Tamandua tetradactyla: one gene and its partner. The protein of the gene in region 1 interacts with the protein of each later gene in a biochemical or structural test. Links are inferred from orthologs where the notes say so. Each region holds a gene or a part of one and is shown on either strand. Other genes may lie near its edges. The genes, in order: GPRASP1 and OPRD1.

What was found.
Region 2: the proteins of GPRASP1 (region 1) and OPRD1 form a complex in vitro, tested with the Homo sapiens proteins (2 studies listed by BioGRID and IntAct). The link is inferred for Tamandua tetradactyla from reciprocal best matches to the Homo sapiens genes GPRASP1 and OPRD1.

What each region holds. Positions count from the first base shown.
Region 1 is NC_135353.1:70,949,469-70,953,374, reverse strand, and holds the start of GPRASP1 (G-protein coupled receptor-associated sorting protein 1), read left to right. Parts: upstream 1-984; 5' UTR 985-1,225; intron 1,226-1,619; exon of another isoform or gene 1,620-1,730; 5' UTR 1,731-1,885; intron 1,886-2,411; 5' UTR 2,412-2,476; intron 2,477-2,823; 5' UTR 2,824-2,903; intron 2,904-3,220; 5' UTR 3,221-3,538; coding exon 3,539-3,906. UniProt on the Homo sapiens protein: Modulates lysosomal sorting and functional down-regulation of a variety of G-protein coupled receptors. Targets receptors for degradation in lysosomes via its interaction with BECN2.
Region 2 is NC_135328.1:197,341,585-197,345,490, forward strand, and holds the start of OPRD1 (delta-type opioid receptor), read right to left. Parts: upstream 2,858-3,906; coding exon 2,631-2,857; intron 1-2,630. UniProt on the Homo sapiens protein: G-protein coupled receptor that functions as a receptor for endogenous enkephalins and for a subset of other opioids.

The DNA of each region.
Region 1 (3,906 bases):
GAGGGGCTAAAGACTGGGGAAAATGTGTAGAGATGAGGAAACAAGATTCAGAAAGAACTGCTAGGCTTCCCCAGCAGTCCTGGGGAATGTGTGAATGGTGGGGGATATCCCTACAGAGTGGCCTGGCACAACTAGACATGACAATGCAAGGTCCCGAGATTCAAGCTGGTTTGAATCACTGCTGCATTTCCACACTGCCACCAATTATCAGGGCCTGGGTGTGACTGGGAAGGGAAGCTCTGACAGGACAGACGAGGAGCCAGGGTAGGCCCTGCCTGGTGTGGCTGCAAGTAGATGGACAGAATGGATTGTGTATTCCAGTGCCCGTCCTGACAGAGAAAGGCCCTCTTTCTTGGGTAACTCTGGCAACCCCGTAATGCCAAGAAAAGCTGCCATTTCGAATGGAGAGAAAAAAGCAATGTGACAGAATGATTCTTGATGGAGACAGAGGAATGGTTTGTTTCCTAGGGTTAGAGGTCTAGATGTGCCTTCTTCTAGAAGAGGGGCAGGGGACAGGACCTTATAGGAGGGCCCCCACCACCACCCCCATGCTCACTCCCCCGACTTTAATTAAGAGCCTTCCTTCCTCCTCTCTCTGTCACATTGAAGTAATGAGGGAAGAACATGGGAGAGACCACCTCTAGACCCTCCAGTGTGTTCTGGCCTTCAATCGCCTCTCCCCGTCACCCTGCTTTCCTGACACCCCATCTCCCATCAACACCCTGGAAAGATGATACGCAACAAGCCGCAGTTCGGTGTTCATCCGCTGCTCCTTCCCGCACGGCTCTACCTGACCACCAGGTCCTGCCCCCACCCCAACAGCCCTCCATTCCCCTATACGGTATCCTAGTGCCAGAAGCGTGCTGGTGGTCGCCACACAAGGGGCCGCATACACTGCGGCATCCAGCTGGCAACCCGCCTTCCCCGGGCTGGGGCTCCTGGCCCCGCCCACCTCTGGGTCGGAACTATGGTGGGCCTGGGAGGGGGCGTCGAGCGCATTCGCGCCCATATCCCTCCGCCCCCTTCCCGCCCCCACTTCCTTACACTCTAGCCACCAGCCATTCGTGCCGCACTCCTGCGCAGCCCCTGCTGGGTTTGGTTCTGCAGCGTGGGGGGCGGGAGCGCCTCTTTGCGATTCTGACCCGGCACGGAGAGCGGTGGGACTGCGACTGAGGAGCTTCGAGAGGAGGGGGAGGCCGACGAGCTGGGCCCTGGGCCTGCAAAGGCAAGTGGGGGCGGGGGGACCGGGGCGGGTAGGTGGTCGCCACGGTTGACCGTGGATGGCCTGCCCTTCTGAGCCTGGGATCCTGGCAAGGAGGAGAGAATGCGGTCCGAGCCAGCCTCTGAGAGAGGTGCGCAGCGCCGGGAGACCCCTGACGCGAAGATGCGGAGATCGGCGCGGCCCAGGCCGAGGGCGGAGAGGTGGCCAGAGAGACACCCTCGGGTCGTGCAGAAAGGAACCGCGCAGCCCGCTTCCCGGCCAGCCTTCCAGGAGCCCTTGCCCCGCCCCCGGCCGCGTCTGTGCTGGGAGAGGGCTGTGGAGAGGCTGCTGTGGGGGCGATCTTGGAGAGGCTCTGGGGTGGGGGTCGCAGGGGATGGTCGCCAGAGGCGGGGGTTGGCGTCAGAGCTTTGCGCGGAGGCGGCAGGTGGACGGTCGCGTTCGCCATTCCCGGCCCAGATTCTGGGAAGGTGCCTGTTGGGCCCCGCATGTTGGATGCTTTTCCTTGCAGCTCTGGGCCCGGTTTCTTCCTGTGGGTGCCCTGTTGATGCCAGAGTCTCCTGTCTGCGCGGTAGGTCTCGCGGAGTCTGTCTTCCTGCAGTGTGCGGCTCTAAAGGACAGGCTTGAAAAAAAGCAGGAGCAGGAAAATGGCTTGGATTTCTAGAGGTGTGTGGGGACAGGGGAGTGGGAGGCGATCCCTGACTGGAGACCCTGAAGTAGGGTGTGGTGACTGACCAGAGCAGGTCTGGGGGGATACTGAGGCACCTCCTAATATTTCCCTCTTTGTCAATGTTCCAAGCACTTTTCACCCCCTTTCCCCTAAAATAAATGAGCTTTGGAGATTAGGGTTGGCTAGGGAGTCGCAGGTACAGGTACGGCTTTCTAGAATATGCCTTTGCCCATCCCCCAATTTTTGCTGCGTAGGACACGGGTTGAGTTCCCTCTAGTGGTGAATCCTCAGAATTGCAGAAGGGAGTTAATGGGGAGAGAGGGAGGTGAAAAAATGGTGTAATCATCTCTGGAACTTTAGAGAGCCTAAAGGAGAAATGGAGAATAATCTACCAACAGGATTCTAAATGTTGAAAAGCAGATAATATTGGGACTTTTATCCTGGGTATTGGTTTGCTCACCAATCATCTAGTTGCTATCATTGTCTCCTGACTATGCTACATTTAATTCTCTTTGTTCCTAGTTCTGCTTTAAGGCTGGTGGCTTCTGCAAGGAACAAAGGAGGAGGACAGCTGCTTGTCTCTGGAGGTTGGTTTGAAGGGGGAATGCCTGTGGAAAGTTAAGAGTAAGAACATGGCAGAAGGCTTTGATCTAAGCTGGCACAGGGCCTCCTTCACCTTTCTTTTCTGCCAGGATTCCATAGTGCCACAGCATTGTGCCACAACGTTGTGCATTTCATTCAGGGAATATTGGGAATTTTTGGGTAGGAGTAGGTCGGGCTGTGTTTGAGAGGAGAAGACCTGAGAGTAGGGGCCAGGAGTGGGAACATTGGACCCTTGAATGGAAAGGGAGGGATTTGCATCGGGGGCCAGAGTATGTGCCTGTCTACCATGTGCTCCTGATTTATGCACTCTTGTTTCTTTACTTGACTGTAGGATCACCTGCAGGTCTTCTGTGAGACTTGACACTGCTGGAAGCCTGGAAGAGAGGGGAAAATTGCATCATATCAGTGCAGGTTGGTATGAGAGTGGGGTAATGGGGTGGAGTCATGTAAGCAAGCATGTTTTCTGTAATGATCAAGGTCCAGTGTGATGACTCAGCTGCTCCCATTTCAAATCCACTTTCCCACCATTTCCACTTGTTTTATAGCCGATCAAGTAGTCTGGCTGCCCTAGGGGTAAGGCACACAGATGAAATGAGGGCTCAGAGCCTCTTTCCGAGAGCTCCACTGTCTCACCAAGCATTCAGTATCCAGTCTCCATGTGTGGATTTCTGCATGGGGTGACAACATTTGGAAGAGGCTCAAAGCCCTTTTCCTTTCTCTCTCCCTAGATCCACCTCCAGTGACAGCTCTGGTGGTGGTAGAGTTGCCCCCGACCACCACCCTCATCAGGTCTGTGCCCACCCAGGAACCATCCAACCTTCCCAGCTTGGTTGTACCTGCTCTGCAGTCTGTTAGTGGCAGAGGCTGTGTTTGGGAACGAAGCTGATTGACTGCTGGACTGGCATTTGACACTAACTCTTGCTTCCGACTTTGTAGCCTGAATCACTGAAAGATTGGACTGTGAAGATACAAACCTGTGACAGATTTGTGTTCAAAGTTGAGACTGGGGTTGGGCTATAGGTCTGGTCCTCCTTTATAACTAGGACATGACTGGGGCTGAGATTGAGCCTGGAACCCAGGCTAAATCTGAAAAGAAGACTGGAGAAGTGGTTGCTGATGGGGCTGAGAGGGAGTCTGATGTCCCTCTTGTGGTCAGACCCAAGGTTAGGACCCAGTCCCAGGTAATGACTGGAGTAAGACCCCAAACTGTGGTCATGGCAATTCCTGGGTCATGTCCTCCATCTGAGGCCAAGGCCATCCCTGGGGCAAGATCTAGTGAAGAACCCCCTGCATGTGCCCTGACTGAAATTGGGGCTGGGGCAATGTCGAAGTCAGAGGTAGTGGACCCGTCCAATGGCATGGCTTGTCCACTCATCATTACTGATTCTGGGTCAGTTGTTAAAACTAATGCCTT
Region 2 (3,906 bases), on another chromosome or scaffold:
ACTCTTGAGATTTTCCACGCAGCCTAACCTCAGCCTTCCTCTCGGTGGGGAAGGACTATATGCCAGCCCCCTAAAACTCAAAAGCCCAACATCAGTTCGGATCACAGTTCTTATGTCTCTACCATTCTCTAAAAATTCTAAGACAAAAGAGGAGGAACGAATTTTGCACCCCTCCTTCCATGCAATGAACTGACTGACACTCCTACCCCAGGCAGCTCTGGAAAAAGTTCTAGACTTGGAGTCACAAGACCAGAGTTCTAGCTGAGGAAAACAAGTCATCTTGCCTCTCTCTGAGCCACAGAAACCTCATCTGAAAACTGAGAAGGAGAATGATGATGATGATCTCTACTGCCTGGTCCAACGGCTGTTGGTGAGGATTAAATAATTCAGAACCAGAGATACAGTTATCACATAAATGGTCGGCCAGGGAAATATCGTAGCAGCATGGGGACCTATGGAGACCAGCAATGTTGTAAGACGATTTGGGGAGGATGGTTGGAAGTGCACCTAGCAGGCTGAGCCCAGAGCCTCTCCAGAGTAGACTCTCAGAAGTGGGAGGCCCTCCCCTTGCTCACTGGTGGTAGAGGGATGTGTGCTCATCAACCCACCAACCACAGGGCCCTGGAGCAGGGGCTGCAAAAGGAACTGAACACACCAAGGCTCAGCTTTCCCCAGGCTTGAGCACCTGGAGCTCCCCTAGAGACAGCGGATGCCAGGAGCCTGGAACTCTCCAGCTAGCAATACTCAACAGCTACCCTCAGCACAAGCACCTCCCTCCCTTTCTCTCCTTTAATGGGCACTGGATTCTGCAGAATCTGGAAAATTCCTCCTGTTCATCATACACATGGCTTTCAGTTACTGGGGCCAAGCACCAGGCCAGCTACATTACATTTTCTCTTTCACTGATATTTCACAATACCCTGTTGAAGGTTCTATTACTTTCATTGCATAGATTAGGAAACTGAGGCTCAGAGAGGCTAATGACTTGCCCAAGTCTTAGAGTGAATATATGGCAGAGCTAGGATTAATGCTCAGGTTGTCCTAACCATAAAACCTTTGCTGCCTCCGAAGACAAAGAGGAGAGAGTGACTAATAAAAATGTAAAACAAAGATCATATCTGCCTGTTACTTGGGGGAATTTTCCCACTGTAGCCGGGGGTGAGTCATTGAAAGCACAGGAAATTCCTGAACCCTCCACTTTTCCTAGGGAAGCAAGGATGCTGCTACTGATGCCAAAGGTCTCTCAACACTCCCACATCCCACCTCTCCATGCCCCAGCACACAATGCTCCGCCCTGCAGAGACCCCATACTTTGGAATTCTTACTTATCAACTGAGGAGTTAGGGTCTCTCTTTTTCAGACTGGGAAACTGAGGCAGATGGGAGGTAGGATGGAGGAATGAGCCCCCCACTGTAATGGGCATCAGAGACTAGGCTGAGACCACAGTTCACATTCAGCCTCTGAGTCCACAATCTGCTGTCTGCACTGTCTAGTGACACCACTGCCCAGAGAGGTTTAGGGTTTAGAGGTCAACCAGCATGGACAACCCATCTCCAATTAACAATAAACACCAGGGCACCTGTGATGTTATAAGGATGGGAGTTTCCTCTCAACCCTTTTTGCCTGTGTTTGAGCTAACCGGGTTGGGTCAGGAGGGCTGCTTCTGGGGCAAGCTGATGACATTTTAGACTCTCTGAAAAGGTCTTGGAACTGTACATAGATACTAAAAAGAGAACCTCACTTTCCTGGGTGAAGGCACAAACTCCACTCCAGCCCAAACATACCACTGCTGTACCTGGCCAAAAAAAAAAAGATGGGGGGGAGGAGAAAACGGGAGAGGGCATTTGTGAGGAGGATCTGGGGCCTTTCTGAATCATGTCCAGACTTCCTGACTGGAAGGCTTACTAGGGAAAGGAGCAGGAACCGACTGTGACCATCAGACCCACAGCGGCCGTGGGTCACTGGCAAATGCAAACACAGTTGTGCAAACATACATCTCTGACGCCACTTTGGAAACCCTAGGGTTTCAGGGGGTTGACAAAAAATAACACAGTCATACTGTCACATTCTCATACATGGAGAATCACAAACTGACACACGCCAATACAGGGACTCCAATAGACCATCACCAAATGTAAATTGGTAAGTGTCCTCACAAATGCCCACCCTACCTGTACGGTAGGTACCCACACACTCTCCCCCAGAATTCCACGGCACCTTGACGCACCTCCACCCACTGCAGCCAGGTCTTAGAAGTCCAGACATACAATACATTTGTACTGTCACAAACACAGAATCACTCACTCACAAACTGACAGTCACACAAACTGTCACCAAACTGTCTCACACACCCTGCTGTAGCAACAAGGGGATGCCAAAAGAAGATCAAATGTTAATTTCGCTAAATGCGCGCGTGCACACACACACACACACACACACACACACACACACACACACACACAGATTCCTGCGTCCCACTCTCGCATGGGCAGGGGCCAGTGGACCCTGGGCGTCTCCTGCAGGAAATGCAGAGATCCAGAGAGTGTGGAGTTTGGGATCAGCGTCCCAGTCCGCGGTCCCCACCCTCACCCCGGGGTCCAGTCCACGGCGCCATCCTATAGAGGACTCACCGGACGATGCCGAACATGACGAGCACGTTGCCCAGCAGCCCCACGGCGCACACCGCCGAATAGAGCGCGGTGATGGCGATGGCCAGGGCGAGGGATGAGGCGCTCCGTGCGCCCGGCGACCCCGACGCATTGGCGCCGGCACTCGGGAATGCGCTGGGGAAGGCGTCCGACGCGTTGGCGAGGAGCGGGGGCTGCAGCTCGGCGTCAGCGGAGGGGGCCGGCTCCATGGCTGCCGGGCGGCCGGGGCCGAGTCCTTCCCCACCGTGCGCCCTGGGCGCAGGGACACGGTGCGAGGGGCGCGCGAAGTGCCGTGGCCGCGGCCCCGACGCCGCCGGCTGCAGCGCCCCTGCGGCCGCCCCGCTTTCTGCGAGCCTCCTGCGGCTGTCTCACCGCTCGCCCCGGCCCTGCCACTGGCGCACGCCCACTCTCCTTGCCCTGAGCGCTCGGAGCCAGGAGCCGCTGCGGGCTCCTCGGACGCGCCCGCCGCGCGCACCACGTGGCCCGGAGGCGGCCGCCAGTCTGCGCCCGCGACCGGGGGCGGGCGCGGCACCAGCGGCTCGGAACTGGGTGGGGGAGGCCTCCCACCCTCTACCCGAGGCTGCTCCGGGGCCCAAACTCCCGCCCCGCTCCCGCCAACCGGGGCTCACCTCCCCACCCTCTTTGCGGCTTTGGAGTCAGGAGAATCTGAATGGGAATCCCGCCTTTCTCCCCTTCACTAACGACCAGAGTGACCTCGAAAAAAGTGACCTAACCTCTCTCAACTGCATTTTCCTAGGCTGTTAAATGAGGATAATCGCACCACCTCCCTCAGAGGGTTGTTGGGGAGATTAAATAAGATGAGGTGGGTAAAGAATTTAGCTCAGTGCCAGGCACACAGTAAATAAATTGTTATTCCATGTTTTTTCTTTTACTCCATTCATTCACTCAGCACATTTCTAACTGCCTAATGCAAGAGCTAAGTGCTATCAGAGATCCCCGGGTGGGCAAACTCAGATGCTTACAGCCCACGGGGGAGACAGCAATTCTAAAATCACGCGAAGGAAGAAATACTTACAAATTGAGAAAAGTAAATATAAGGAATACAATCCAGTGGCAGGGTCTTTGAAACACTGGGGTAAGGACAGTTTCCCTGAGGAAATGACACAAGGTGAGATGTGAAGTTTGAAGAGAAACTAATTTAGGGAAGAAATAAGGGAAGAGTGTTCCAAATGAAACATATGTGCAAAGGTCCTGTGGCAGCAGGGAAACCTGTTGGTTTCCTGGAACTGAAAGGAGG